Bombyx mori: one gene and its partners. The protein of the gene in region 5 binds, or shares a complex with, the protein of the main gene of each other region. Links are inferred from orthologs where the notes say so. Each region holds a gene or a part of one and is shown on either strand. Other genes may lie near its edges.

What was found.
Region 1: the proteins of integrator complex subunit 2 (region 5) and integrator complex subunit 1 are in contact, whole or in part, in a cryo-EM structure (PDB 8RC4), measured with the Homo sapiens proteins. The link is inferred for Bombyx mori from reciprocal best matches to the Homo sapiens genes INTS2 and INTS1. Residues at the interface, in NP_065799.2 of Homo sapiens: Pro40, Leu54, Lys69, Leu72, Arg73, Leu75, Ser76, Gly77, Val78, Glu79, Val81, Asn82, Val85, Gly125, Thr127, Leu128, Glu131, His132, Glu166, Val172, Tyr173, Glu176, Arg322, Gln325, Gln326, Arg329, Gly400, Lys402, Thr769, Met772; in NP_001073922.2 of Homo sapiens: Gly561, Ile562, Ala563, Trp564, Asp565, Lys566, Gly567, Ser982, His1055, Met1056, Thr1058, Pro1060, Glu1095, Arg1096, Thr1098, Ile1099, His1102, Leu1107, Arg1225, Ser1250, Phe1251, Gly1252, Ile1253, Tyr1285, His1288, Glu1291, Val1292, Gln1293, Glu1295, Arg1296.
Region 2: integrator complex subunit 2 (region 5) and integrator complex subunit 4 share a complex: the UniProt entries of both Homo sapiens proteins name them as parts of the integrator complex. The link is inferred for Bombyx mori from reciprocal best matches to the Homo sapiens genes INTS2 and INTS4.
Region 3: the proteins of integrator complex subunit 2 (region 5) and integrator complex subunit 7 are in contact, whole or in part, in a cryo-EM structure (PDB 8RC4), measured with the Homo sapiens proteins. The link is inferred for Bombyx mori from reciprocal best matches to the Homo sapiens genes INTS2 and INTS7. Residues at the interface, in NP_065799.2 of Homo sapiens: Gln27, Lys28, Val29, Cys48, Arg51, Met52, Cys55, Ala56, Ala58, Asp59, Gln60, Ser61, Trp64, Phe92, His93, Ala186, Glu187, Pro189, Ile194, Val218, Asp220, Ser221, Asn223, Glu224, Ser259, Leu262, Lys263, Arg265, His285, Gly294; in NP_056249.1 of Homo sapiens: Leu38, Gly39, Glu40, Cys42, Glu43, Val46, Arg47, Asn77, Phe78, Leu81, Cys82, Leu84, Lys85, Gln88, Gln89, Asn114, Asp115, Pro116, Val117, Ala120, Ile121, Arg124, Val153, Glu156, Val159, Phe160, Ala163, Leu195, Lys196, Pro199.
Region 4: integrator complex subunit 2 (region 5) and integrator complex subunit 9 share a complex: the UniProt entries of both Homo sapiens proteins name them as parts of the integrator complex. The link is inferred for Bombyx mori from reciprocal best matches to the Homo sapiens genes INTS2 and INTS9.

The regions. Positions count from the first base shown.
Region 1 is NC_085131.1:780,124-786,295, forward strand, and holds part of integrator complex subunit 1, read right to left. Parts: intron 5,790-6,172; coding exon 5,573-5,789; intron 2,171-5,572; coding exon 2,097-2,170; intron 2,013-2,096; coding exon 1,832-2,012; intron 1,277-1,831; coding exon 1,142-1,276; intron 563-1,141; coding exon 406-562; intron 1-405. UniProt on the Homo sapiens protein: Component of the integrator complex, a multiprotein complex that terminates RNA polymerase II (Pol II) transcription in the promoter-proximal region of genes.
Region 2 is NC_085121.1:12,654,383-12,661,178, forward strand, and holds the start of integrator complex subunit 4, read right to left. Parts: upstream 4,462-6,796; 5' UTR 4,340-4,461; coding exon 4,286-4,339; intron 4,193-4,285; coding exon 3,860-4,192; intron 3,301-3,859; coding exon 3,052-3,300; intron 2,782-3,051; coding exon 2,606-2,781; intron 315-2,605; coding exon 122-314; intron 1-121. UniProt on the Homo sapiens protein: Component of the integrator complex, a multiprotein complex that terminates RNA polymerase II (Pol II) transcription in the promoter-proximal region of genes.
Region 3 is NC_085129.1:14,683,021-14,688,143, reverse strand, and holds the end of integrator complex subunit 7, read right to left. Parts: intron 5,029-5,123; coding exon 4,814-5,028; intron 3,797-4,813; coding exon 3,718-3,796; intron 2,497-3,717; coding exon 2,302-2,496; intron 1,777-2,301; coding exon 1,717-1,776; 3' UTR 1,641-1,716; downstream 1-1,640. Other genes in the region: TLR4 interactor with leucine rich repeats, read right to left, coding at 235-1,466. UniProt on the Homo sapiens protein: Component of the integrator complex, a multiprotein complex that terminates RNA polymerase II (Pol II) transcription in the promoter-proximal region of genes.
Region 4 is NC_085111.1:140,196-147,145, reverse strand, and holds the start of integrator complex subunit 9, read left to right. Parts: upstream 1-2,593; 5' UTR 2,594-2,884; coding exon 2,885-2,893; intron 2,894-3,586; coding exon 3,587-3,778; intron 3,779-4,395; coding exon 4,396-4,598; intron 4,599-4,788; coding exon 4,789-5,657; intron 5,658-6,950. UniProt on the Homo sapiens protein: Component of the integrator complex, a multiprotein complex that terminates RNA polymerase II (Pol II) transcription in the promoter-proximal region of genes.
Region 5 is NC_085110.1:8,304,212-8,310,828, forward strand, and holds the start of integrator complex subunit 2, read right to left. Parts: upstream 4,281-6,617; 5' UTR 3,987-4,280; coding exon 3,697-3,986; intron 3,609-3,696; coding exon 3,235-3,608; intron 2,711-3,234; coding exon 2,526-2,710; intron 2,324-2,525; coding exon 1,975-2,323; intron 1,653-1,974; coding exon 1,580-1,652; intron 1-1,579. UniProt on the Homo sapiens protein: Component of the integrator complex, a multiprotein complex that terminates RNA polymerase II (Pol II) transcription in the promoter-proximal region of genes.

The DNA of each region.
Region 1 (6,172 bases), on a different chromosome or scaffold from region 5:
ACAGATTTGTTACGACTAGAGAGAAAAGATACAATTTTACGAAGAGCGAAATTGAGAAAATAGCGTCTCGCGGACAACTCGACCGTAGACCGTGGAAAGCACAAAGCGAGTTAGGTGGTTTCTCTTATACACAGCATTTAATCTCAAAAATTTGATTTAAGAATGAAAAATGAAGAAAAACACAATACTGTATACCACAAAAGAAGTTTCACTTCTTGCACATACCGCAAAAGAAGTTTCACTTCTTTCACATATCGCAAAAGAAGTTTCATTTCTTTCACGTGCACCAAGTTCCACGCGTACCATTTTTTATTGTTATTAATGGCTTTGAAAAGAGATCAAAAACTAAACTATAATCGTGTTCTGACGTAGCAGATATTATCGAGATACCACAACATCACTCACTAGCAGAGGGTCCGTAGCACAAGAGCTTGAGGTGCGCATGCGCTATGACGAGCGGCAAGTCCGTGCGGCGCCCCGGGGAGAACTGCAGCGAGATCCTATCGCCCCCCGGCCACCCGCCCTCGCCCTCCTCCTCCTCGGGAAAGGTATTGTTGCGGACCTGAGTTAACAGATGATTGTCACGTAATTCAATACATATTTTCCTCCTTGCGTCGGTTTCCTCATTACTGAGGGTCGTGGTCATGGCCTTGAAACAGTTTGTTTTTTATAATGCACCGCCATCTGTTCCTATCTGCAGCTGAGTGCAGAGCATCGTGCACTGTGGTATCAAGGGCTGCACGAATCTGGTCCGTCCAACGGATCGGGTTCCTGCCTTTTGGTCGCTTGCCCTCGACCTTTCCAGTGACCACCAATTTCTCCAAGTTCCAATTCAATACATATTTAATACATATAAAAAATGCATCTAAGTGAGTTTTGAAATGATTACTGCACATATAGATATGTAAAGAGAAAACAGTTAACTACCATATTTTCCTCTGTCGAACGATTTCATTTGTGTATTTAATTTTGTTTTGTAATCTAAACCCTAAGGTTTCAGTAATTATGGTCGAACTTCGATCATTATAAGAATGCACAGATAATTGAAGTACAAGTGGATACGTTTAAGGCCAGCTTTACACGACGAACCCCGGGTCCGCCAGGGGGGTGGTCCCCTCACTCTAATCAATGAGCTTGTCACCTTTTGAAGATGATCGTAAAAGAGCGAAGTGAGCGCCAGCAGCGTCCGATGCTGCTCCGGGTGCGAGGGGCCCGACGCTCCGCCGAGGACGCTGTTCATCACTGTCGACCGCTCCATCAGCACTTGGCAGAGGTCCTGTAGGTGTGAGGACGTTTGTACTGGCGTAAACTTACAGACGACTCAATGGTCCAGCTGACGTAACAAGGGTCTATAGCAGCGGTCGGGGAACCGGGGTAAATTACACCAAATGGGGTAAAATGAAATATTTGGGGGTAAAAATGAAACTTTTGTGAGTAAAAAGTATATATTGAAGTGAAACTTCTTTAGAATCGTTGTGATTTCAAACTCGATGAAACGAAATGAAATGAAACGAAAAAAAAAAAATTTTTTTTCAAAATTATCACGGTGCCTATAATATGAAAGATGCTAAAAAGAAGCGATTCCGTTTTTTTTTGTTCTTCGCCACGTGGTAATATCAACTTACACAAAAATATTTTGGGGTAATAATTAAAAAAGTTCCCCTACCGCTGGTCTATAGACATCACGGCGTGAATGCCGCCACCCATCTTGACACACGAAGTCTCAACTGTATAGTAGGCTGTTCCACCCTATGAACTAATATGCGTGATTGCAGCTTGTAGCGTGCCCTACACCAGTGAACACTATCATCGCGTCTGCAGCGACACGTACCAGCACGATCTCGGTATGCAGCTTGTGGGGGGTCTTGGCTGCGTAGCTGGCCAGGAAGTCGATGTAGGCGGCCACGTGCCTCGGGATGCATTCCACCAGGCACGCCGCCCGAATCCTCGCCACCACCTCCTCGCGGACAGACTCCCAGTGCCGGAGCTCCCACAGCAGCTCCAGCCACTCTCTGTTCCGGACAGATCCACGGTACAGTTAGCTTCTTTTCTACTGACATTGTATTACAGAGGTGTAAGGAATAGATCAAACTCACTCGGGATTAACTTCGGCGCTAAAATCCATTTCGTTCGTGTCTTCTGAGGATTGACTCAGCACCAACTTCAGGCCCTAGTGCAAAATGAATGAATGAATGAATGAATGATTTATTTATTTTTTGAATGATATTGAGCTTAATTGTTTGTGACATAGTTTTTATAAATGAAAATTATAGGAGTGGGTAATATCGGTTTTGCCGCGTATCGAATCGTATCTATATATCGAGGATCAATATCGGATATTGAATCTATATATTTTCTGAATCTATATATTGATGGATGCTAGTAGATTTTCCGATTCATTATATTTGAGATTTGAAACGTTACGCTGATATAATATCGTAGTAGATATAGATTTAAGTCAACGTTATACGGTTGGTTTTCTGATATCAATTTATAATATGATCTTAAAGTAATAAAAAGAACATGAAAATAAAAATATCAAAAAAACTTTCCTTCATGCTTTTACCAGGCTTAGGACTGGCTACATTATTTTCAGTTTTTAGTATTTTGTGTCTTAATTTAAAATTACAAAATATACCAAAAGAGTGTAGATTTCAAAAGTTTAATACAAACACAAGAAATAAACTCAATTATTTGGATTCAACTAAAAATAGAAAAATGTGTACTTTAAAAATAAAAAAAAAAAAACTTTTAAGTATTTATAAACACTTGTCCAAAAATTCTAGTTCAAGGTCAAAGCGCGTGAAATTAAATTCAACGATGCAAATAGGCTATACTGTATTCAAGTTAGGGTCGAAAGTTGAAACTTCTTTCCTAAATTGTATCCTGCTGATACGCTAAGAATAATCTACAGACTTATGGACTTAAATATAAGGTTTACAATTCGGCTGTGAAATATCAAAACCCAGTATCTGCATAAAACTAAATTTTACAGGAGAGCCGAAAAACAATTTCATATCTTTGACAGCGTGCCGTTTCAATAATATTAGTCGTACCTTCTTGAGAGTGATTGCAAAATTTGAGGTACATAACAGGCTTTATAAAAAAGTAGATTTCATGCGTCTATCACAAAAGATGTGCGTAGAGGAGCAGTTACTAATAAAAAGATTGTTCTCTTAGATCAAACTTTTTGAGTGTGACAATTTCAAAACCTAGTAAGATCACTTGCTTTGTTTTCATCTAGTTCTAAAATATAATGAGTGGGGATAAACGCAAATTAATAGACTTAGTAAGATCACTTGCTTTGTTTTCATTTAGGTCTGAATTTACTGAGTAGGAACTAAATGCAATTTTATAAACATAGTAAGAAAAAACAGAATAAAACAACATAAATATGGGCAGAAATAAGCAGTTTTAATGAAAAAGAAAAAAAAAAACACATAATCGGAAACCAAACACTATTTGTTTACAGTAAAAAATCAAAAAATAATCACTCAAAATATTTGAAAACAATCAAATAAAAATAAATTATTCGGTTATTAATAATTGTCCACTAGAAACTAAATTAACTGGATTATTATTAATCGGTACACTTAGCCAAAACTTCTTCTCCAAAACTTCTGTTCATTGGCATAAGCTAAATAAAGTTGTTACTATGCCTTCCTTTTTATTTTCGTTAATGCCTCTTGGAATATTTTTTAAGGTTGGCATGATCAAGGGATAGTGTTTTTTAATAAGAAAATCCAACTCGGAATACGGAGATTCAAAATCATTCCTATAAAACATATTACGGCACCCATTTACAAATATTACTTCAACCAAAGAACTAAGCAACAAATTATTAATGGGAACAAGGTCATCATTGCGTCGCAGTATGCGTTTCTTTTTTACCCACTCATACGATTTTTGGAATTCGATAACTTCAATATGCGATCTGCAACCCAAAATTACATTCTTATAGTCTTCAAAATCGTACACAGCATCTTTTGTTTTTAATCTGCCTCTCCATATTGCCATGAACTCCATCAGCTAACATACGTGTGTGATCTTTAGTTAGGTAGGTATTACAAAGTCAAACTTTCTAAATTGAAAAACTCAGAGATTATTACTATAGTAGATATTACTATAGTAACAAGTGATGTAAAGAGGATCCAATTTTTATTTTGAGCTGTGCAATTATCACATCACAATGTCAAATGATTCAAATCTCTTTCTTTTTCGATCATTGCTGCAATTGCATTAACAATGTCATGAGCATCTCGTCCAGAATAGGCTTCATGCCATAGAATACAAATATTATTAACATTAGTTTTCTTTCTGATTGGTGCAAATGTCAAGTTGAAAGTTATCATTCTACTCAAGAAAAACGATTCCTTGACTTTAGGCATGTCGGGTAACAACATAACTTTTTGTAAATCCATCGAATAGTATCTCACAGAGGAAGTATTTTCTAAGGAGGCATCTTCTTGATACTTTTGTATTGCTTTACTTGCTTTAGCTTTGTGATCCCCGTATGCAGTTTTAACATCCTCTGGAATATTTGCACCTTCATTTGCTTTATGTGTCGTAGTAGGTTGCAATTTTGGAAAACAAAAAACCTTGACAATAATAAATCACACTGAAGCGTACTTACATTTTACCATTTTGTTCTTTTAAAGCATTCAAGATCAATTTCGACCTACAAAACTGATTTTTACTCATTTTATAGACAAAAACACGAACGACGTGCAACGATTTTCTCACTTACTAAAGTTTCGCGAGAGTTTTGACGTTTATTTCAACAATTTCATTGACTTAGTATCTGCATGAACCATTTTAAATCCAAGTAACTACAAGCACTTATTAGGTTTTTAAAATGGTTGATGTTATATACTATGTTCTAATCTTGTAATTTTTGCATTTTGAAAACCTTTACTGTAGATACTAGGTTTCCGACTTTGTGTAACTTCGTTTTTTACAAATTTTTGGGGGTTTTTGCTATCCTAATATGTGGAGAATGGTCTACAAGGTCGAAAAATGCAAAAACACACTTTTTTTAAATTTGTCAGATACTAGGTTTTGAAATTGGACAGCCGAATTGTATGGATAATGCCTGTTTCTGTTTCATTCATCACATGATATCCCTATCGTGCGCTCACTCACTCTGGCCGATTCGATACGAACCAAACGAATATTGCTGATATTAATTAACGAATCGGTACGATATGCCGATGCGCATATCGAGCAATATCGTGTATTGGCTGATATCGAAATATAGATTTCGATTCACGAATCGGTACGATATGCCACGATGCCGATGCGCATCACATCGAGCAATATCGTGTATCGGCTGATATCGATATATAGATTTCGTGCGGGGCGATATCGGATTCAACGATATTGCTGCGATATATAGATATTGAATCTATATACGATTTATATCACCCACTCCTAGAAAATTAACAATATTTTATTTCCTTCAAAATTATGAAATAATATTTTATAATCATGATCTTCTCTCTTCCGATGGCATGCACACAACGGGAACTAAGGCAGTTGTTTCGGCCTCAATGTTAACGGAGTTTGTAGTTACCCGCGAGGCCCGCGCGCGCGTGTGCTTGTGCGCGTGCGCGAGGCGCTGCACGTAGTAGAGCAGCACGGCGCGCGCCCCGGCGGGCGAGGCCGCCAGCGTGCGGCGCACGTGCGCGCACAGCTCGCCCGCCCGCCCCTCCGCGCCCCCCGCCTCGCCCGCCTCCCCCGCGCCGCCGCCCGACGACAGGAACTCGCACAGGCACTGCACCGGCAACACGCTGCAACACCGAGGTACGGTCACTGCCACCGGGGACTTGCAGGTACAATAACTTAAATTTTTTTTTTTTTTTTGGAAACAAACAGTACAATACAAACATATAATATTTTAAAAAATATAGCTAAAACAATAACCAAATATGTTTCCACAATCAAAATCACATATAAGTAGAAAGTGAACAGAGAAGAGAAATTTAGAAATTTAAATTACAAATTTCTCTTCTCTTGTTTTTCAAAAGCAACACAATACGCACATATTATTTAAATATTACATAACATAATAACTATGTATAGTACATTAACGAATTTTTACGACGATTTTTTGTTCATGAATTGTTCATTGAATGTTTTAATATTATTACAAGCGCCATGTTCACTGGTAGAC
Region 2 (6,796 bases), on a different chromosome or scaffold from region 5:
TAAAGGTTTTTCTTTACATGAATATTATAAGCGTTTTTGTGTGCGTTTCTAATCCATATAATGTCTGAACATATTTAAATGTGTATTTCAATGGTATATTTAGTGTTGGTTCCGTAATCACCTTCATGTTACTCATTAGTTGTTTATCGAGGGTCTGCAACAGGAAGCGATCGGAAACGGCGCGCGTGGTGCCGAGCAGCGTGCAGGCGAGCGCTCGCACTTGCATGCATAGATCGTTCACGGCCGAACATATGCGAACAAAAGCGTCATCGACCATTCGTATCGTGGTCTCGTCATCTTGTAACGTTATTACACTGAAAATAACAAAAAAAAAATCCTCAAATTCATTGTTCTGAGATGTATTGGAGAGGCACACATTATATATTTTGTTGTTGTTGTTTTGTTTATTGTTGGGTTTGTAATTGTGATTAAACAATTATCACTTACATACGAATCTATATACGATTAAGATTATTTCACTTAATTATAATCAATTAATAATAACATTAAAAAACGTTTGAAATAGAACTTAAAAGTTATGGTGATCATGAATCATGTAAACAATGTAAGACTTTTATTGCAAAGAAAGTCAATAACATTATTTAAAAAAAAAAACGAGTGTTGTTTTACATACTTTTTGACTATAAAAATAAACTCTCCTGGTGGCTCTCGAAGGGAGCGACAGTCTGGCAGACTTTTAAAATATTTTATATATACTTATTTATTTACTGAAATTTTTTATTCTTATTTACTTTTAATAAAAAAAAGTTGCCGACATATTAACTTTATTACAATTGCTTAATTAACACTAGATTTACCAGACCAGTCATTTTGACTGGTCGTGCAACTTCAATTCAAAATGACTACTACATTAAATATTTGCTTTCCAAATTGATGTTATAACTTTTGTAGGTATAAGTAGAGAATACATTTTATGAACTTAATTTTACTTTATATAATGTTAGTAACAAATATATTTTTTGTTATAACTATTTATACCAGAACCAGTCAAAATGACTGGTGCATGTTTCTAGGAAGAAATGTATGATTTCGGGAGAATCATGAGACCGTGAAAATACAAATAGTGCCCATGCTTCTTTTGTTCATTACGTTATCGTTATCGAGCCGATTTAGGCGATTACGGTATCTATACGATTTTTTTACGAGTACTTAGTCCAAGCGATCTCCAAACGTAATCATTCATCTTTACCCATACAGTGACACGTAATAAACATTTATGAGTATTTGAAAAATATTCAAATATATGTTGTTCAGCAAGTAGCCTGCATATCCTTAGCCCCTAAAAATGTCAAAACGAAAATTTGTACAGAGCTAGAAGCCTCTCGAGTTTTGGGGAAAACCTGGATAATCACGCAAGAAAAATTGAAGGCATTTCTTGTAATATTGTACGCACGTGGGGCATACGAAGGAAATACTTTGAGACTTCAATATTTGTGGAATAAAAAATGGGGACCATCATTTTTTTCTAGCACTATGAGTAGACGAGATTTTACAGATATTTTACGATACATTCGGTTCGATAAAAGAAATCAGAGGAGTCAACGTTTGCAAACAGACAAGTTCGCTTTAGTCTCAGCAGTTTGGGATAAATTTATTGAAAACAGTCAAAATTGCTTCAAACCGGGAGCTTCTATTACTGTGGATGAGCAACTTTTTCCAACGAAGGCCAGATGCAGATTTACTTAGTATATGCCAAACAAACCCCATAAATTTGGCATCAAATTTTGGTTAGCGTCTGATGTAGAAACAAAATATGTGGTAATAAAAAAGTACTTTTACTAAGTACAAAACATAAAAACATCAAAATTGATAAAGCAGCTAAAAAATACCTGAAACTGTATTGTTTTATAATAAAACTAAATTTGGCGTCGATGTGACTGATCAAATGGCACGAAAATATACGGTGAAGTCTGGTTGCAGAAGGTGGCCACTTCAAGTGTTTTTCAATATTTTAGATTTAGCCGGAATAAATAGCTGGATATTATACAAAAACACAACAGGAAAATATCTCACGGAAAGACTTTCTGTTTCGATTAGCAGAAGAACTTGCTTCAGAATATCAGACTTCAAGGCAAAAACTACACGAAGCTGATATATCAACTACCGCTGGCACGGTTTCTGTGCGCAAATGGTGTCAAATACGATATTGCAATAACAATAAGACTACAAATATTTGCAATAAATGCAAGAAAAGTCTATGCGGAAAGTGTACAAAAAGCAAAATCTACATCTGTAGAAATTGTGAGCGATAAACTGTAAAAATTAAGTGTTTTGTTATTTGAAAATGTCCATAAATCCATTTTTGTATAAAAATTTATATTGTTGAATTCTTTTTACCATTTTTTAAGAGTGAATAAAGACTGGAAACTCAGTTAAGCATTTTTTTATACACCAGTCATATTGACTGGTTATGGTAGAAATACGTATATTTAAATGGCTGGTAAATCTAGTGTTAAAGATGGTGGGCATTCAAATGTGCAATCTATTATTCTACAAACTTTAGGTAATAATAGCTTTACAAGTTAGTGTGTGAACTAATAAATTTAAAATTAAAGAATAAAAAAAAAAAAATTAGAGTACTTACTTTTCTGGGTATTTATTTCCAAGTACCCAAATCAACTTTAGGGCAACTTCTCTTACTATTTCATAGTCATCGGACAGAGCAACACAAACATGTTCGTACAAATTAGATCCTAAGATCTGTCCTCTTTGATGAAGTGTTAACAGTGCTTGAAATGCTTCACAACGCACTCTGGCATCCTAAATTAAAAAAGTTTTTAAACAGAAAGTTTTCAATCCTAACTCTGCTTACCTGATATTTTGTATGTTAATAAACTATGTGATTTATATATTTATTTTCTATGAGTAATAATTAAAGTGATGCATGGTGTTTGAAATAATGTATTTATATTACTTCTTTGTTTTCTTTTTATTCAGCAGTTTATAATAACTATGCAGTCAAAACATTTAAATTATTGTACTATAAAATATGACTATACAGCTACACCAAATTATGAATATACAATATACCTCAGAATTAGAATAATCTCCAAGAAGTTTTACAATAGCTTCAGCCTCTGCTGTCATCTCAGATGTTCTATCAGAGTCCGGATGTATAGGGTACAACTCACTGATGAGCTGTAGACACCTACATTTCACCTGATGGCTAGTATCTTTCAAATTGTCTTTAGCAACACCAACTAGCCTCATCATTAAAATTTTATCGTCACTCAATTTCTTGGCAAGTTTTGTCAGTGTTGCTATTCCTTGACCGATAACCTGTAGAAAAAAATCTATCAAATATCAGCAGCAAAAACCTTACCAAACAAAAGAAAAGCATTACTACTACATTATTTACTAATTTATCTGCTTTAAAGAAGTAAAGACATAACATTATTTGTTAATTTGAATAGATTGTTTTGATCACATCCAGTATTTCTACAGTTTTCGTGATTTTTAGATATATTTAAAACTAGTTTTAAGGATGACTCTGAACACTAAAATTGTAATTTATTCTAAAAGTCAAAAACAATAGAATGTAAATGTAAAAGCAGTATTATTTACGTTGTGTCTTTAACACTTCAGGCAATTGCAATGTACAGAAAATTATAACATAATACATAAAAAAAAAACTTTGTAAAATAGTAAAATGTTGAGAATGTTGGAGCCTTAGGTACTGAGAAGGATTTATACTTTCCTGCTAACAATTGAAATTACAATCTCAAGTTTCAAAGAGGGTGGTGGAATTCACAGAGCATAAGAGCTCCAGTAAAACCTAAATGTGTGAACATTGAACCACTAACAGTCTATAACAAATACAAAAATATAATAAAATTACCTTGTGTGACGTTTCGTTTTTTATTAAATGTATGGTTTCATCTATCAAGTTATTCAAGTTTGCACAGGGAACCTCCAAGCCTATGTCACAAAAAAGCCATAGTATTTTTACTCTGACTACAGACTCTTCTTCCGACTGAAAATGTTTTGACAACTTCTTTATTGCTTCCTCTACGTCGGACTCTTGGAACTGAAGACAGTCGGATATTCTGAGTAAAAACTGCAACGCTTCATCGCTGGACTTGCATTTCTCTAGAAGACCCACAAAGGCAGCAGCAGAACTACCTATTAACGGCTTCTTTGCCAAATGCAGCTTCTTCGATGGTGGAGCATCCTTTGGTGTAAATATTGTAGTGAAGAGTTAGGTTAATTTCATTAGACATTTCACTTTCAAATATAGAAAACTATCTAACTGCATTATACTAACCTGAAATGATTTATTGTATTCTGCCAGGGCTCTCTTCTTTAAAACTGCAGCCATTTTATTAACAGTTCCAGATGGTGATTTCTGTAATGTAATGTATTTGTTTTTGTATAAAATTGGTGTTATGATTGGTAATAATAATCTATGGACCAAGCTTTCAAAACTACTCGTTAAAGTAGTCTGTGACCATCTATCACTGAAACTGAAGTTATGCCAGGACTTTTTGGCGGGAACGCGAGGAGTGAAGTTGTGTAATTTGTTTTATTTTGTCTATTTAGTGTTTCTTCAGGTTTAAATGTGTAATAATGTTGGTTTATTAACTGTTTAATATCTGTGAAAGTGCACAAATGTGGGAAAATGAAACAAAGTCGCTGGACGTAACTTTTCGGGATCCTCCAAAAAGTTCACTGAAAAAATCTTAGTAAATGACCACCATTTTACTGAGATTATATTTCATCCCATATGATCTCATTTCATTTCATTTAATTTCATCCCAGCTGATTAATGTCTCAAATTAATCATCTTCAACAAACTTGCATACGTCTGGTCTTGACCTATGAAAGTGTAGTGTTCGCTTACGCGGCCTTTTTTTTTTTTTTTTTTTTCCGGGCCGAGGGCCGAACATCCTACGAGGTCCCCACGCCTAGGGGGCGCGCGGGGTATGTGAGACTCAACGATCTGCAGGTGTTGAGAGCAGACCGCGGGCCCAAGGAATTTAAGGCCCACCCACTAAACGACTCCCCTGCACTCTTACACCCGGCGTCCGATCTCCGTCCGGGGTCAAAACCCGGTCAGAGTAGGGGGGTTCCCGCGGTCAACACTACAACCAGACACGCGGCGCCACCCCGAGGACGCCCGACCGACGGGTCGTCGAGGCGATAGTCGACGACCAACGACGTCAGTCTCCGCGGTACGGCGGCCCTTCAGGCCGCCCGGGCGATGCCGCTGGTGTTCCGGGATACCCCGCTGGGCCAGAACCAGCCTGCCGGGTCGGAACGCGATACACCGCCGACCGGGTTGCTCTTCCACAGTATGTTCGGCGACGACAGCGACGACGAAAATGCGGACCGCATCGCAGTCCGCAGCCGCCGACGCGTCGTCCCGTCCTCCTGGTGCCAGCGCGCTAGAGTGACGGTAGCGTGCGGCGCAGTCTCAGCCCCCTTAGGTCGCCCCGTGACCATCACCGGGAGGAGACTGCCTCCTCATAGGGGCCGGAGCTGGACAAACGCCCTCCTCCGACCCCCGGCTCGACGGCGGCGGCACGGCGCCGAGAGGGAGGAAGAGTTCTCCCTCTCCCGTTCCGCCGCCTCCTTCTGCGAGATGGTGGACTCGCAGAAGTCGAGCATCGCCTGCCAGGACTCATCGCTGCCGAGCATCGCAGCCACGACGGTCGGAAGCGACAAGTCCGGTCCTATTTTTGCAACGAGGACGCGGCGCTGCTCCGCGAAAGCGGGGCAGCACGCGAGCGTGTGCTCCGCCGTGTCCTCGTTGCAGCCACTGCAATGGTGGCACTTCGGCGTCGGCTCCCTCCGGGCGACGAGGTGCAGGTAGCGACCGAAACAGCCGTGTCCCGTGAGCACCTGCGTCGCTCGGAAGGTGAGACGTCCTCGGTCGCGATTCACCCAGTCCGAGAGGACCGGGCGGATCGCCTCGACGGTCCGTCGCCCGTAGGCGGGGTCCGCCAGGCGGCGAGACCACGCCTCGAGCACGGCACGCCGAGATAACGCGGCCTGCACTAACTTAAACACCTTTAAAATCATTTCATTCCGTTTTTGCAGGATAGCCGTCGGAGAACCATGGTTCGTGAGGAATGTGGATCTTCCCGATGACCTGGAACTTGTTTCCATACTTCCGTATATGATGACAGTGTATGAGCACCACTTCGAGAAAATGGCTCGATACGATAATCCACTTTTATTGTGGCCGCCGGCAAGTAGTACATACCGATATACCCAATGCTGCAGACCGAACGGTAAACGCTCGCTGTCACCCAAAACATGTCATTTCGAATCCTTCCGATTCACTATAGGTGATTTTAGGCACTGCCAAGCACCGGTCACCGTTCTCGTTCAACTCTTCGAATGCCACGAAGGGTTCGGCAAGCAAAATAACCCCCTGATACAGCCCATTGAGTTTCTCGCTGGATCTTCTCAGTAAGTCGTGTTTCTTATTCGGTGGTAGATTATGCCAAGCACTGGTCTGGTTAGGACTAGTGTTGGCAAATATGCCAGGCTGAGCCCCGTGAACTCGTCTGCTCGCTCGATGAATCTAGTATAACACCTCGAGGCTTTTTTGGTAAGTACATACCTAATCGCTGGTAACCTAAGGGGCTATTCCAGCTACTCGCAGATTGGTAGGTTTACTGGTGTTAGGACCTCTTGTAAGTCCGCGCGGGTAGGTACCACCACCCTGTCTATTTCCGCCGTGAAGCAGTAATGCGTTTCGGTTTAAGGGGTAGGGCAGCCGTTGTAACTATACTTGAGACTTTAGAACTTATATCTCAAGGCGGGTGGC
Region 3 (5,123 bases), on a different chromosome or scaffold from region 5:
TAATTTAATTTAACGCAAACTTCATGGTGTTTCCCGAGCGCTATGACATGTCCTTCTTCAAACGGGGCTTGTGGGGAGTACTTAACGGTAGGCAGCAGCTTGGCTCTGCCTCCGGTATTGCTGGCGACCATGGGCGACGGTAACCACTCACCATCATGTGGGCTCGTAAGCCTGCAAGGGCAATAAAAAAAAACTGTTCCCTGACATCCTCCTTGTTCTGTGTGCCCAACTCACCTCACATGGTCTCTGTATTCTTCAGGTATTTGCAATTGTTTGATCCAATATAATTTACAGTCACACGACCAAGCGTTTCCTTGTAAGTCTAGCTTTATGAGTCTTCCAAATGGCTCCATCAATCTCTTGTCCAGTGTGGTTAATCTCGACCCTCGCACGGACAACTCTTCCAAATTGAAATAGTCGGCATCTTCTAGGACTTCTTTGCCGAAAGCAAACGCATCGAATTTCGTCAGATTCATGTTCCGTTCCAGCTCTAAAGACGTCAAAGAATGTAATGGTTCGAACATGTAGCCGGATATTTCGGTAATTTTCAAATTATTGAGTTTGAGTACTTTCAATCCGGCTAGATCTGCGAAGTCTTCACTGGATATAATTTCAATGGGGTTATCTGAGATATCTAAGTACTCTAAAGTGAATGGAAATTCGAAAACGTCAGTTATATTGTTGTTTGATATAACGAGTTTTCTAATATCGTAGGCGTCGACAAAGAAGTTGTCTGGCACTCGATTTAACTTCACGCCGCGAATGCTGAGCGACCTGATCTTCGCGGTCAAACCCAAGCCGCTTCTGTCGAACAAATTCACTCGTCGTAGCTCCTCGCCTATGTCGTTGTTGTCTAAAACGATTTCCTTCAAATTCGTCAATCGATGAAAAGTCAATTTATCAAGAGACGTAAATTTGTTGTTGGCCAAATTTAAATATTCTAGATTCTTTAGTTTATCGAAAACGTGTCCGTCGATTTTGCTAATTGAATTGTCGCTTAAGTCCAACTTCTTCAACGAAGGTAACGCCAAGGAACAGTTTAGATTGACAATATGATTGCGATTCAGATACAGCTCGACCATAGTTGATGAATCGAATATAATTGATGAATCTATCGATGTTATATTATTGTATGACAAATCTAATGAATATATCGTTTTGGGTAACGTTAAATTGACCTTGGCGTCCACGTTTCTGTGGGAGCAGTCGACTGTTTCGCCCATGTAGTCTTGATCTGCGTGTTTATAGTTACAGAAGCACGTGCCATCGCAGAGGGAATTGGCGGATGAGACGTATAGTAAAATGAAAATCGGTAACATTTCGTGGCGGCGACGGCCGGGCGCGCACTGTGGCGTGCGGGGCGCCGCGCACTCACCGCCGCCGTTATCGGCAATGCGTCGCAATTTTTGGTCATTCCACTGCGATAGTGTAATCAGTGTCAGGTCTGGATCCAGAGCGCTGCTCATTGTTGTCGCCGCTCTAGATCGAGGCTTCGTTTTTATCAATGTTTTATTGAAGTGAAACTTCTAATGCGACTTAATTAAAAGTTTAACGCTCCTGGGGAGGAGAAATAGAGGATAGGAATGGCACTCTGTGCTCTTGCGATGTCCATTGACAAATCAATTAAATAAAACCATACAACGCTTTAATCGCCTTTATTAATATTAACTTTCCTTATCGCGACATTGTTAAAAGAACATTAGCAAAATCTCAGGATCAAAACCTTCCTCTGCTGTTGTGCGAATTGGACACCTTCGGACTCGGATCGTCGTGAGCCTGGAAACAGTTCGATTTAATTAGTCTACGTACATTTTTATTACCCTTGTAGGCGAGCGTACGGCCCACCTAATGGAGAGTGATTACCGTCGCCAATGGACTTCAGCAATGCCAGGGGCAGAACCAAGCAGCTGCCTACCGTTATACTAAGTCTCAGTTCTACAGTACAACGGCTGCCCCACTCTTCAAACTGGAACGCATTTTGCTACTGTAAAAAATAGCCACTAGAATATCTCCAGTTTTTTTTTTATTGCTTAGATGGGCCGACGAGCTCACAGCCCACCTGGTGTTAAGTGGTTACTGGAGCCCATAGACATCTATAACGTAAATGCGCCACCCACCTTAAGATATAAGTTCTAAGGTCTCAGTATACCACACTTGTGTTATACATTCTCAGGCGGATCCTTAGGTCGTCTTTTACAATATCCTTGAGAACAGACGGAGCTTTCTCCCTCAAATAAACACTATATTAAAAACAGCAACTTTTCTGAAGTCTCGTTCAGTTCCTACGCGTCATTCATTTACCTTGATGACAATCGAAGTCCTGGGGCCGGTGTTCCACAGCTGGCCGCGCTCGTCCACGAAGGCCGACTCCACGGCCACCGTGTACAGTCCCGGGTTGGGCACGCTGACCAGCTGCTGGGCGGAGAAGAAGTCCCGGACGGGCGCGACCGTCTGCACTGCGGTCAGCACCGGCGGCACGTTGGTCAGCTCCACCGTCTGCGGACGACGGGGACTGTGAGGGGACGGGGGCGAGGCGCCGGAGACGTGAGCTCGAAGTCTCAACTGCTTCGCGGTAGAAATGGGCAGTACGGTAGTACTGTTACCTAATATGCCTCTCAATAATAATGCAGACTAAGACATTCCTGAATGCATCGTCATTATATAAAGACGATTTATTGTTAAAACGCCGCAGAACAGAATTAGCTCGAGTAGCGGAAACACACATCGTTTGTACTATTTCTTTTATAAAATAAATTGAATGTCAGTCACAGTTTCCTTTTGTTTTTAAAGAGCTCCTGGATCCATCTCGTAACAGTACCTCTTCATGGAGGCACAAAGCGTGTCCCAGTAAACTGAACCGTAATACATACACTTCCTTAGGAATTACTACTATTAGACTACAGACGTCCATTGCTGGACAGAGGCTTCCCCCAAACCTCGCCACGACTGGTTATGCACTGCTTGCTTCCAGCGGATCTCCGCGAACCTCAATAGCTCCTTTGTCCATCTTGTGGGAGGCCTACCCACGCATTTTTTTTTCATACCTAAGCTGATGGTTTTGAGAAACCATATCACCGTCACCGGGCTAGTAGGTGAGCTCACGGGGCTCAAACCTGACGTTTTTGCTAACACGAACCCTAGCAAGAGCCGTGCTTCGCAGAATCTACCACCGGATCGGAAACGCGACCCACTGAGAAGATCCGGCGAGAAACTCAGTGGGCTGTCTGTGGATTAATTTACTTGCCGAGCCCTTCGTCGCAACCGACAGGTTCGGCGAGAACGATGACCGGATCCACGCTACGCTTAGTATTTGTGGAGTACGAGAAAGCCTTTGATTCGATTAAGACCTGGGCCGCGTTGCAGTCTCTCCAACGGTGCCAAATTGATTACCAGTATATCGAAGTGTTGAAGTGTTTGTATGAATACGCTACTATGTCAGTCCGATTACAGGACGGGGCATTGGAACCCATCCTTCTGCAGCGGAGAGGCAGAGAGATGTTGTTTTTCCGAAACCATTTACCACCGCATTGGAGAATGCTTTCAAAGTTCTGGACTGGAACGGGCTAGGCATCAACATACAACTCCCCTTCGGGTTGTCGACGATATTGTAATTATGGCTGAAACCTTAGGTGATCTACAATGCTCGAAGACCTCAGTAGAGCCTCTATCCGAGTGGACCTTAGGAATTAATTCGTGGTATAACAATGTAATCAGTACCTTCTCGTTGGTCCTCGGATGCTGGGTGGCGGTCACCGTGATTTGGACGCCTTTAACTTGTCGCTGCTGCTGACGTTTGCTGTGAGATACATATCGACGGGTAAACAGCTATTTGGTTTAAGCGATATTCTTGAAACTTTCCAGGAGAAACATGCAGTTTAAATTTAAAAAAAAACACGACATAAAAACTTTTTCAGCTATTTGAATGGAGTAAACTTTTAGATGTGTGGACGAGCTCACAGCCCCTGGTGTTAAGTAGTTATTGAAGCCCATAGACAACCACATCGTAAATGCGCCACCCACCTTGAGATATAAGTTCTAAGGTCTCAATATAGTTACAACGGCGGCCCCACCCTTCAAACCGAAACGCATTACTGTTTCGCGGCAGAAATAGGCAAGGTGGACCACCACCGACCGTGCGGACTCACAAGAGGTCCTACCACCAATAAAGTCGTCTTCCTACAGGCGCAATAAAGAAAAAAAAAAAAAAAAAAAGCAAACACGTTCAGTAATTTCGGGGGTGTCGGCAAACAAACAAACAGACAGATAAATAACTACGCTGCAAGCTTCCGCGCCGGTTCCTAGCACTGTCTGCGGTTTTTGTTAGACGTTGATATACCTAATTTAAACCGTTTTACTGTTTAATCTCGCATTTTTGTTAACATTGAATTATTTGTTAATGTCACTACATTACTGTGAGTGTTTTAAACGCGTGAACGAACATGTGACATATCGTCGTTGTCAAACCAAAATCTGCTATGTGAACTTTTAGAGATTTTTACTTTTTGAACTTTTCGTATAGTTCACGGCCCTATCTACCGTATAAAAAAACTGTTATATGTCTATAGCTTTAATATTTATCTATAGCTTTTAATTGATATAGTTCTTAAAAATTCACCTTCATATAAAATTGTATACGAAAATGTTTTTACTCGTTAATACAAAACAGAGTTTTGGCACATAGCAGATTTTGGTTTGACAGTGACGATTTGATAAACGCGGGAACAAGTCGTACAGGGAGTTACATTTATGTGTAAGTTTCCGTTCTACATCCCCCCCCTTGTGTTTATGTAGTTATGTAGATGCGCGGACTCACGCGAGCGGGCGCGCGGGCAGTATGACGCCCTCCAGCTTGAGCGCCAGGCGGTGGGACAGCGGCAGCGCGGCGGCGTGGTCCGCGGGCGCGGGCCGCCACGCCGGCGACACGGACACGCGGCACACGGCGCCCGTGCCGCGCCCCGACCACGCACCCCGGGACCACACCGCGCCCGCGCCCGCCGCCCGCACTGCGCACACCACCGCCTCCGCGTGCTGCACACTCGCCTCGGTCAGTGATCATTACGGATCCTCCCGATCCACTAACGGTGCTTTTAGGTACCTTAAGCACCGGTCACCGTCCTCGTCGA
Region 4 (6,950 bases), on a different chromosome or scaffold from region 5:
CCATTAAAGTATAAATTCTACAAATAAATAATACTCAACAATATTTAAAATAAAATGAGCCAAGAACGTTTATCGATAAAACCTGATAACATTGAAATCTTTTGTACAGCACTAAAGCCGCCATGTTTTGTGGCCAGATGACGTCACAGTGGCACGAAATTTTGGTTGACGTTTCATTTCCATAGGTTTCCTACTTCATTGGCTGCAACCACGGAATAGATCTATTCCGTGGCTGCAACAGTATCTCCCACTGTTTCCTAACTAGCTCCCTAGTCTCTGGTAGTTGGTTCAGTTGCTAATACTAATACTATTTTCCTAATGGAGAAATTGTGTTGATATGCCTTTTTTGTTATCGATGTGCTTCAGCTAAAAAGTAAAGAGAAAGCAGCGCTTGTGTATTGTTCGGATTACAGCAATGAAGTGGCGTCAGTCTGTGCTAACACTGCGAACTTGTCTGCTCTGTCGTCGTCTGAGGTTCACTTTGCCAAATTAAGAATCCGTATAATTAGTTTGCACCACTGAAGTATGAAACCTATCTATGGTTTGCACATGCATTTTTATAATGATCTGCTCTATTTGATTTGTAAGGCAGACAAGGCTATTGTCCATCAGGTAGAGAGCTGTGACGTTCTCTGATGACAACGGCGGTAAAGCAGCTGCGCACCGCTTTTTCCTGTACTAAATAGTCAGCGAAAGGTCCATAGAACATGTAGATGTAGTGAATTGTATTGGCATTCGTCACATTTGTTTTAATTTAATGCGGAATTATTTTCCTTATCATGAGGACTATATCTATATATATATAAAAATGAATTGCTGTTCGTTAGTCTCGCTAAAAGTCGAGAACGGCTGGACCGATTTGGTTAATTTTGGTCTTGAATTATTTGTGGAAGTCCAGAATTATTTGTGGAAGTCCAAGGTTTAAAAGGTAGATAAATATGAGAATGTTCGGAATTAAATAAAAATAAAAATTTTTGATGTGTCCCGCGTCGGACGGATTCCTTTTATTTGTTTTAAGTTTATTTTATACAAAAGTTTAGGTCTTTTATTTCTCGATTGAGGCACTACGAAGTCTGCCGGGTCAGCTAGTTATAATATAAAACCACGGATACCATATCACCACACGGATATAAATAAAATAAAATTCTTTTATAAACCGAATGCATGTATGTGTGTATGTACGTAGGCCTTTGACTGTATTCCTAACCTAGGTTTTTATGTTTAATAAACTCCGCATCCATTCACGGACCGGTTATTATTATTCGACTCGACTGTGTTATGTACTTACCTAGCGGTTGTACAGAGTTGTGTTTTTTTTATTGCTTGGATGGGTGGACGAGCTCACAGCCCACCTGGTGTTAAGTGGTTACTGGAGCCCATAGACATCTACAACGTAAATGCGCCACCAACCTTGAGATATAAGTTCTAAGGGTCTCAGTATAGTTACAACGGCTGCCCCACCCTTCAAACCGAAACGCATTACTGCTTCACGACTGAAATAGGCAGGGCGGTGGCACCGCCCGCGCGGACACACAAGAGGTCCTACCACCAGTAATTATGCAAATTATAATTTTGCGGGTTTGATTTTTATTACACGATGTTATTCCTTCACCGTGGAAGTCAATCGTAAACATTTGTTGAGTACGTATTTCATTAGAAAAATTGGTACCCGCCTGAGATTCGAACACTGGTGCATCGCTCAACACGAATGCACCGGACGTCTTATCGCTTAGGCCACGACGACTATTCTTACACTTACACTGTATACATATAAAATATATAATTACCTACAACAACGTAACAAATGTTGTGTACAATAATAGCATAACGGACTTGGATATGACTTCCCACCAACATAATTTATAATCTGAATTGACAAGTAGATAATCTAATTTTTATCACACTAAACTTGACTGGAATAACACTAGGTATATCTGCTATACAGTACAGTATAATAATAACAATGTATTTCATGGTTCATAATATATTACTTACCAAAGGTTTTACAAATAGCTTAATAAATAGACATACCCGATCCTGTGGACCGAACGGTAACAAGTCGACGTCGCTCTAAACACGTCATTACGGATCCTCCCGATTCATTATCGGTACTTTTAAGTACACACCTCAAGCACCGGTCACCGTCCTCGCCGAACCCGTCGCTTGTGACGAAGGGCTCGACGAGTAAATTAACCCATAGACATAGCACACTGAGTTTCTCTGCTCTTGCTAGGGCCAGTGTTAGCAATACTTCCGGTTTGAGCACCGTGAGTTCACCTACACGTTAGGGCGAAGCTGAAATAGCCTCTCACGGCTATCAGCATAGGTAGGAAAAAAAATGGACTAGAGAGTGATACGGCTAACTCTTTTTCCCGAGGAATGCAAATGCAACGAGTTTCATTGTTTCCGAATAACAAATTCAACGAATATGGAACCGTAGTACAAATTTTGTTAATTAATGAATTACATTTAATATCGTTTGTTTCATTTTACTTTTACACAACAGATATAACTCGTTTGTTACAAATATTTAGTTGTATGTATTGAATATGCTCCCTTTGCCTGTCGATTAAAACAATCAAATGCTTATCTGACAGATAATATCTGTAGGTAGGTAACTAGAACCTACCTACCTACATAATATAAATATATTTTGTTTAGCTATTTTGAAAGTACTTATGTACCTAATATTCATTTATTTCAATTAATGATGTTGTACAGTTATGTATTATCTATGCAATACACTGAATAAACGGTTCATCAAACCTAAGCAAAAATAATATTGAAGCCGGACAAATTGATAAAGCAGTTACTAATACATAAACATACTTTAGTAATAAACAATATTCGTCCGCAAATTCGAAATATAATATATAAACTAATAATGAAGCTTGTAAGTATGCAATATCTTCACTAATTTATTCAAAACACTTGAAAAATATGTAAGAGTTGAACTTGAAACACAAAATACAAAAATAATATTAGAATTCATACTATTAGAAGATTGTGTTAGAATTAAACCTGCAGGACGCGAAAACAAACCAAATTGCAGTGGAGTGCTCCATTTGCAAGTAGTTTATTAATATAGTAAATTATTTTACAAGAACAGCCCATACGTTTTTACTGTAATGATATCCTGGGTAGAGAGGCAGTCTCCCACATCCCCACAATTTTTACATACAATTTTGTTTAAGTGATTATTTCATAGCTTTTTGGGATATGAACCTAATACTAGAGACTAAAGGCACCACAAGATGAATGATACCTCTAAGAATTTGTCCCTCTCTTCTATTGAAGTATTGATTGCTTGGATCCAATGACTAACCAGTTAAATCGGAATGCATGATTGTGTCTGAACAGAAATAAGTAGAATGGTTTGAAATTGTCATAAATCATTCTATGTGTACTCTAAGATCACAGCTGTTATACAGGTACTATAGGGACAGAAAAATAGGTGTGGCTTTAAAATACCAGGATGGCTCCACTATTCTGGCATATCTGTTTAATTGAGCATTACCATATGGACCCCTGACTTATAAATAATATAACCAGTGCTTACCTTAAACAATGTTTGATTTGATTACAGTATTGTTTAAGCAATGATGCAGCGAAGCCTTGCTTTGTGTTGTCTTTCAAAGAGCTCCTCATAATGTTGGATTGTGGGCTGTCATCCCACTCTGTGCTCAACTTCCTACCGCTGCCTCCAGTGCCTAGCACTCGACTCGCATCCCTGCCTAATTACACACCACCACATCACAATGATCCACTCTTGGAAGGGGTATAAAAATTAAGCTTATTACATTTCTTATTATCATTATTTATATATCAGTACCTAGGTATAAAGTGGTTACTGGAGTCTCTGGTCATGACAACATTATTACCACCACCCACCTTGAAACATGAAGTTGAATTCTCAGTTGTATTGTATGATGGTTGTTCCATTCTTCAAACAAGAGGCAATCACAGCAAAAACAGACAGGATACTGAATCCACCACTAAATATGGTATAGTCAGTATGCTGCTTTAATACTCACAGAATGCTTATTCTCTGGTGAATCCATTAGGTACAGTCTTTAAGCAAAAAAACACATTTCATCAATTAATTATTTTATATACAAACATTAAATTAATAAAAAACTCAAAACTCCTCATTAAAATAATTTTTAAACTTATCCAACTGTATCTCTCAGTTACATTACACGTACCTTCCAAACTGCATTCAACAGATTTCTGATATAAAAAATCAAAGGGACTCATATTTTAAATCTGACTCCAATGCTATGATTAAAAACCCTATGTCAAATAAGTAATAACATGTTAAATTTAATGATATTTCTTTATAATAAAAACAGAATCAATATCAGGTGATATTTAAACTAACCCATCTCATTACAGGAACTAAAGGAGTGTTGCGGCAGAGTGTTTGTTGATAGCATGCCTGAGTTTTGTCCGCCTCTCGATAAAGTAGTCGATTTTTCTCAGCTAGATGTAATTTTAATCTCAAATTACACTTGCATGCTGGCCCTGCCTTTTATAACAGAAGATACAGGTTTCAAGGGCCAAGTGTATGCCACTGAACCTACTCTACAAATAGGAAGGTATTCATTCTCTATTCTTTTTATGCCTTCAAAAGTATAATGATAAAAAATATACATTTCTGTATTGTATATATGGTTATAGAGTATATAACAACACCATATTATTGTAAACAGAATATGCTTATTGAAAGTACAGTATCAGAATGGATTGAAGCAGCAGAAAGATGTAATAAAGATAATATATTTGGAGGTTCTACCTGGAGGAGCTGTCGGAGTGGGTGTGCTCAAGCGGGTCGGGGTCGGGCTCGGCCAAGCGTTGGAAGGAGGCGGTGCACGTGCTGCCCGCCCCCCTCGCCGACGTGGTGCGGCCCCGCGCGTGGCGCCGCCTGCTCGCCCCGCACCACGTCGCCCGCGCCCTCGCGCGCGTCCGCGTGGTCGGCTACGACGAGAAGGTCGACCTGTACGGCGCGCTCGACGCCACCGCCGTCAGCTCCGGCTTCTGTCTGGGCTCCGCCAACTGGGTGCTGCGCTCCGCCCACGAGAAGGTCGCCTACGTGAGCGGCTCCAGCACGCTCACCACGCACCCGCGCCCCATCAACCAGGCGGCTCTGCGGGGCGCCGACCTGCTGGTGCTGGCCGCGCTCACGCAGACGCCGGCGCACAACCCGGACCACATGCTGGGCGACCTGTGCGTGCACGCCACCGTCACGCTGCGCGCCGGCGGCTCCGTGCTGTGCCCCGTGTACCCCAGCGGCGTGCTGTACGACCTGCTGGAGTGCCTGTCGGCGCACCTGGACACGGCGGGGCTGGCGCACGTGCCGCTGTACGTGGTGTCGCCGGCGGCCGAGGCGTCGCTGGCCTACAGCAACATCCTGGCGGAGTGGGTGTCGGCGGGCAAGCAGGCGCGCGTGTACCTGCCCGAGGAGCCGTTCCCGCACGCGGCGCTGGTGCGCGCGGGGCGGCTGCGGCACGCGCGGGACCTGCACGACGACTCCTTCAGCGCAGACTTCCGCCAGCCCTGCGTCGTCTTCTGCGGACACCCCAGCCTGCGCTTCGGCGCCGCCGTGCACCTCGTCGAGCTGTGGGCCTGCAACCCGCTGCACGCCATCATATTCACAGGTACGCAGCCCGCTCTCCCGGCTCGATTATGGTTTAGGGGACAATTCCAACTGGTCGCGGACGAGTAAATGAGCACATGGGCTCTACCAGAAAGAATGTGCCAACACTAGTCCTAGCAATAGTAGTGTTTCGCAGAATCTACCACCGGGTCGGAATCGCAACCCAAGAAGTTGAAGGTACTCAATCTACCGCTGAGTTAGTAAACCTGGTAAGTGGGCGCCGCGCGAACTGAACGATCGTTCGCGCGACCAACGCGTCTAGGTGCCAAGGTACTTCTCTGTGTAGAAACGGAAGGGATTTTGAACCGCATTGTCACTTACAATGAAAAATAAATTCTTTTTAATAATCGTAAGCCGTCGCCCTGTTAGTTAGACCCTGCTTTAACCTTGGCGTTGCCACAAACGAAAACACCCCTACAAGACGATTAGGGGAGGAGAGGGTTGGAAGTTTTTCAGTCATTAATTTGGTAGCTAAACACAACACAGCACAATTTCCGACACTTACCAACCAGCCTTCCTGAAGAGTGGTACCTCCGTCCTAAGAACTGTCATTCGTTTTCGTTTACTACTTAACGTCAAGAGAATATTTCTAAATTGTTCTAAGACAACAAACGTGATTGGTGTGCTCAATATTCCTCTTAGCTCGATTACCCTAATCGCCCCTACGATGTCTGACGATGGTGTTAATAATTGTCTTCTCCGACAAATAATAAAATGACTTTATTTTTCTGTAAAGTAGCCGGCAATTTTTTTTATTGCCCTTTTAGGCAGACGAGCATACCGCCCACCTGATGGTGAGTGGTTACAGTCGCCCATGGACTTCAGCAATGCCAGGGGCAGAGCCAAGCCGCTGCCTACCGCAAAATGTTGTACCTATTCGTACGTATATACTGTAGATATCAGATATCGATGAACCTGTGTGCGCTAAAATGTTTTCTGCTGTAACCGCTACTGTACCAACACTGTTGGCTCGGGTAGTTCTCTTTTTAACCTACTCCAAAAACCTCCATTAAGAAATCGAATATCATTAGAGAATGCAAAACACAATTGTTGTTAAATAAATAGTTTATGATAACGAGAGATAATGAACGATAAGAGACACGAGCCGGGCGGCAAGTCTCCGCCTCGCCGCAAAAAATGACCAAAGGAGACGGAAAATCGTGGGCCAAAAATGTAATAACTTGGAATGTAGTCTAAAAAATTTGTCATATTTTTTTATATAAGAATATAAAAAATCACCTTAATCCTCTTTCTGGGACCGGAGAAAAATGAGAAAGTTAGTTTTTGTCGGTAT
Region 5 (6,617 bases):
AGATCGTCCATCCATCAAAGAAAAAGAAAAAAAACTGTAGTTTGGAAATCAGAGACTGACTATTTTTATTTTATTTATTTATTTATTTATTTATGTACACACAGAAAACAAGACACAGTACAAAGCAATAGGAAAATTATGTACAAAGGCACTGCTTATTTCTTTGAGAAATCTCTTCCAGCAGACCTGCGAGAGGATAATGAGAATAATAATAAAAAGTGATAAGTGTGTGTAGAACAAATAACACATAACTAAAATAACAAATACAACATGAGAATTATAGCACATACACATAGCAAATATTATAAGTAACACAGTAACACTCGTATATGCGAAGAGTATAGAACCATGATCATTCGGTTGATGATAGATAAAATTGTTTGACCTTGTATTTAAAAACAGAAACAGACTTGCAAACTCGGATGTCAGCCGGCAACGAATTCCACAGTCTGACCGCGTGCACAGTAAAGGAGTGAGAATAGAAATTGGTTTTGTGGGAAGGGAATAACAAAACAGAACGTTGGTTGGACCTGCAGGGAGCATCAGGAGAACGAATGAAAGAGAATCGCTCACGTAAATATAAGGGAGAAGTGGGCTTATGTAGGATATTGAATAGGAGACATAATATTCGAATATTCCTACGAAGGCGTATAGGGAGCCATTTAAGTTCTTTGCGAAAATGAGAAACATGATCGAATTTTCTGAGATTGTATATAAAACGGATACATAGATTTTGCATCCTCTCAAGCTTGTTTGAGAGCTCCTCAGTGGCATCCAAGTAGCAGGCATCGGCGTAATCAATTATGGGTAGAATGAGAGCTTGGACGAGAGATATTTTTGTATACTGAGGTAAGAAGCCCTGCAGACATCTCAACGAGTGCAAGGCAAAGTGCACCTTCCTACTAATCTCAGCAACGTGAGAACTCCACGAAAGATGTCGATCTACAATAACACCCAGGTTTTTAACTGAATCGGTTAGAGTTATTTGAGTCCCATCCAAATAAATTGGGGGGAGTATAGGATCGCTGAGTCTACTGCGCAATTGTTTACCCCCTATAATGATAGCCTGTGATTTTCCCGGATTAATGTGCAGACCGTAGGCTTTTGCCCATTCACTGATAGACTTCAGATCACTGTTCATCGCAGCAATAGCCGATTCAACTTCAGGCTCCGAGAAGTGGCAATATAGCTGGAGATCGTCTGCGTAGAGGTGGAATTTAGAAGATATAAGCCTAGTGACAGAGTTTATAAACACAGAAAACAGAAGAGGAGAAAGAACACCACCTTGGGGAACGCCCGCACTGACGTTCTGCCAATCCGAGAAAGTCTCGTCAAGACGGACACATTGCGAGCGCCCCCGAAGGTAACTATCAAACCAGTTAATAGCAGACGAGGAGATATTGTTTGATTTGAGTATTTCGAGCAGAACATCGAAGTCAACAGAGTTAAAAGCGCTGCTGAAATCTAACAACACTAATAAAGTTACTTTTAGTTTAAAGTTACTTAAAGTTAGTTAAGACTATATAAGTATTAAGTATAATAAGAATTAATATATAATAAAATATTAGAACTAATTTACCTTTCGAAGTAGGCTTCCTCTTTTACCAACCATTGGACCCATTCTATAGCTTTTTTCTCATGATCTGGAGCAGCTAAAATTATAGTCAATTAAATTAGAATTAGTACTGCTCATAATTTGAAAAGTCTTCTTTTACAATTTCTTGGTAAATAGCAGGGTGTATTGTGAGCCTACAGAGGTAGGTACTATCATCCTGCCTATTTCAGCCCTAAAGCAGTCAAATATTCTGGATTGAAAGATGGGACAGTCATTATATAATACAATTCAGACTCAATGCATGCAATGAATGGTGGCATTCACATTCTGATGGTGGCACATGTCTAGTGGCTCCAATAACAACTAAATACCAGATGGGTTGTGCCATTTATCTATGTTGTAAAATAAATAAATCTTACCCATTAAGGATGGACATGCTAAAATCATACATAGACTTAATGAGACAAATCTGACTCCAGCAGGGGTTGGGGGAGGTTTCTGTGTCACTAGTCTTAGTAACCAAGCTACTTCATCATCCTGAAACTTAATACTGGCAATGCCCCTCAATGCACAGTACAATCTTAGTAAAGCTGAAGCATCTACTCCAGCTGTGGCAGCTTTTAGACGAATTAATAATTCTTGTCTTAACTTTGTCAATGCAGCATGACCATCACCTTTACCTCTTTTGTGTGAATTTCGTAAAAATGTAGCAAACCATCCTCTAGTAGTTTGGTCAGATCCAAGTAACAGACCTGATATAAATGACACCTAAAAATATACAGAACCATTTAAAACAAAGTGTACAGGACTTTGAAATCATATTGAATTAATGAACATAATTGACACAACTGCTTATCTCAGCTATTATGAATTACAAATATCATAACATAGTCAATAATAAACATGTCATGTCATTTTAAGTTCAATATTTATTATTATACTTAATAAATTGATTTTAATAATAACTTACAAGATCATCTTCATGGTGAGTCAAGGTTAAATTAATGACTAAAGATGGTAGACGTGAAGCAGATGCTGCTTTTGCTCTTATGGTGGCAGCAATAGGTGGAAATACAGCACATAAGGTAGCTAATGCCTTTGCTCTGATGCCACCTTCTTCACTTCGTTCAGCATTTAATACAAGTGATTCCGCTACTGTAAGGCAACATTTAGCATTTACATGACATATTTTAAAAAACAGAATTATACATATAGTATAAGATTTTTGTCATAGTATGTTGCAATAAGCAGCTGTCAATTGTGTGTATACATCAGGTGCTGCAATAATTTCGTTACATAGTTCACAGGAACCCTTAAAACCTGGAAAGGCTCATCATTAACAACAAAACAGAGCCTTCCTGAAAGGCTTGAGCCTCCATCAAAATGATGGTCTGATCATGTTACTCAGCAGCTAGAAATGCTGGAACATGGAGCTCTCCACCAAGCAAAAGATATGAATAGATGAAGAGAAACAGTGAGACTGCAGAACAGAAGAGTTCTGCGGTAGGCAGCGGCTTGGCTCTGCCCTAGGCATTGCTGAAGTCCATGGGCGACGGTAACCACTCACCATCAGGTGGGCCGTATGCTCGTCTGCCTACAAAGGCAATAAAAAAATAAAAAAAGTTACAATTCTGAACAATGAAGGAACAACCAAGAGAAGTTGTAATAAAAATGTTTACCTTCCTGCAACATGTCAGGTTGATTTGCTACCACCCATGATATTATAGAAGGGCCCTTATTTACATAAAGGAGAACCTCAACCACATCACAGATATTTAGTAAATTCGGTATTTCAGCTAAACTTATACATATAACATCTGTGATTTCTTCTAAATACACATCATTATCAAATAATTCAGAGGGCTTAATTGTATAATCCGCATTTGTATTTTTTGTCTGATTGAACTCAACTAATTGTGCTTGCATTTGTAATAGTTCTGATAGAACAAGGCGAACCCTCCTAGAAGAATCAGACTGTTCAAAATCACTTGCAATACCATTAATTATATTTGGAATTAGTGTTGACTCAATGCATTGCGATCCACTTTTTTGCCTGAAAACAAAAATGAATTTGGTAATCAGGTTAAGAAGTATTAGACTTAATTAATTCTCAACTTAATTTTGTCAAGCAAAAAATTTACCTCATTTGTTGTTCTTTTTTTACATCTGCTTCTAGAACATGAAATTCTATAGATAGAAGTGAAACTATGAAATTTACTAAATCAATGCCTGAAAGTAGTGTAAGTATATCTTTCTTAGCTTCTGCACAGTATCTGGTGATATCTAATGGAGATATCAAGGCCATTCGGACAAGACATGGTATTATGGGTCTTATTTCATCAGGACTACATTTCATAAGACCCGGAATATCAACATCTTTTAGGGCTTTGAAAACGTGTGGTTGAACTGGTTTCATGAATTCAATATCCATTATGAAAGTATATTATAACACATCACAAGCTTTTAATATTAATGTTGGGAGTAAAACACAAATCTACATAAACATAGTAGATACTTGAACTAGCAAATTGATCACAATTATTAAGTTCTGTTGATCACTAAAATACAAACACCTTTTTTAAGGGATTTTATGACCTGGTAACTAAGACCTTTAAGACAAGTCTTATTTTAATTTGAATGAAATCTTTTTTATATGCAAAATTATATTATGAAATGAAATTATGTTGATTGATATGAAACATGGGATGAAATGAAAACGAAATGAAATGAAATGAGATGATATAGGATGAACTATAATCTCTGTAAAATGGTGGTTATTTATTGAGACTGGACTTTTTGGCGGGAACGCGAGGAGTGAAGTTGTGTGATTTGTTTTATTTTGTCCATTTAGTGTTTCTTCAGGTTTAAATTTGTAAGGCTCAGTCAGGAGGAAAAAGTGTGCTAACAGCTGCAGGAAGCACCCCCGGAGAGGGCCTAATACCTAATATATTATAATAATAATATACAATAATGTAATAGATTTCGGTCAAAAACGCGGCATAGTGAGAAAATTTGGCGAGAAATTAAGCAGGTTGATTCTATTAGCTAATTTTCACGAAAAAGCGTCTAACAGCACTGATAGTGGATCGGGTAGATCTGTTGGGACACGTTAAGGGTAAGTTTGTTTTGCATGAGCTGGATCAAGAGCACAGTTAGCGGCTGCCATGATGAGAAAGTTATGGCGCCGAGCCGCTGCGTCGCGGCACCGTAATAGTTGCGAAATAGCGCTCCGCTCTGCAACTATTTCGGCGCAAGGCCCTACGGCGGCGATCCTGAATCGAAACTATCTTTTAGGCTTAATCTCGTGTTTTTTATTGTTATTATTATAATATTTATAAGACGTTTCTACATTAGCATATTATATATGCTAATATGCTAATGCTTAGCCGTACCTATGCTAGTTTTGTATAGTATCACCTTTTACGAAGGGACATTTTACTCCGCTTGCAGATCATCGGGTAAAGTCTGCCAAATAGAAACACGATGCGGTCACGGATAGCCTTAATATGAGGACACAAAATTTGCATCTAACTGCTTTTCGGTAAATCCTATAGTCCTCAATGGTTGGGAAGACGGGACAGACGGGGAAGTTGGGGACTATCTCTGACGAGATAGTGTTCTGCTATTATAGGCCAACAATATCGAGCAATTGCATTATAATGGTGGCTGACCTACGATTTAAACTAAAATGCGAGCGTGCGATGCGTGCTTTTGAACTAATTTACCGGTTTGATTTTTATTTCATTTTCAACACGGAAGTCCTTCGTAACGAGTTCAGTTAAATAAATATTTCTTTCGGAAAATGATACGTGTCTGCGGAATTTGAACATCGGCATATTCAATCTTAAAGAATGGTCAGCCAGATGTATTCCACCTGAACTGTTCGAGCTGAATCCACACTCCCGCCCACCTGGTTTCAAAGAAAAACGCCCAATCTGGTGCGTGCTTAACCACCTGAGAACGGGAGTTGGTCACTGTAATCAACTGCGGAAGAGATGGGGCTGGACGGAAAACGAATGCGGATGCCCAGAGCAAATTATACGCCACATTGTCATGGAATGCCCACTAACGAGATTCGCAAGCCAAGTGGAAGATCTCAAAAATGTAACAGAAGAAGCTATCGATTATTTCACAAAATGTAAATTTAAATTATAACCACGCAGTGTAAACGAATGCCATACGATAAATAAATAAAATAAAATCTTGTTTGATATTCTATCTCGCGTGATACGAGTACACTGGGCGACTTATTGAGTCTTATTGTTTAGGCCACGACTATTTTCTATAGAAATTTATACCTACCTGTCGCAGGATTTAGGCCTTGGCATAATCGTAGAACTCGATACAATTGGGTATAGGTAAGATCACGGACTGCTATGAAGGAGTAATGGGGCGTAATAAAATCATAGTGCAATAATTGTATTGTGAGCTCGTAACGCTAATTATGTGCAATGGTGTAGCCTATTTTTGGTATCAATTGGCAACAGCTAAGTTTCTTTGTTTTTTAAACAATTTTACGTCATCGTATTGATAATCTATTAAGAACATGTGTTAGATATGTTACTTGTGATAATGTAAAAAAAATATATTACTAGTAAAGTACCTATATATTCGAACATACTTTATATTTATATTTTTCTGGTAGTAGGATATGTTTTCATACCACAGTAGGAACCACCACCTTGCTTATTTTTGGCGCAAAGGAGTAATTCGTTTCGGTTTAAAGGATGGGATACCCGTTCTACTATACATTTGATAGGTAGTAGGTACTCGTGCTTCAGGACGGATACCTAGAGGCATTCACGTTATGCTGTCTTTGGCCTCCGATAAGCACATAACAGGTGGACCGTGAACTCATCTGCCATTCTATCCTATAAAAAACAATGTACTATTAAAAAGTTGTAAATAAAATGTGTTTAGAGATTAAAAGTACAAAAAAATGTTAAAATTACCGAATGAGAATTAGAATGAGATTAATAAGGAAAGAACTAATCAATTCGCCACTAATTTTATCCGACTGCAAATACGCCATAGAAGTATTATTAACTGATTTAGGCTCCAC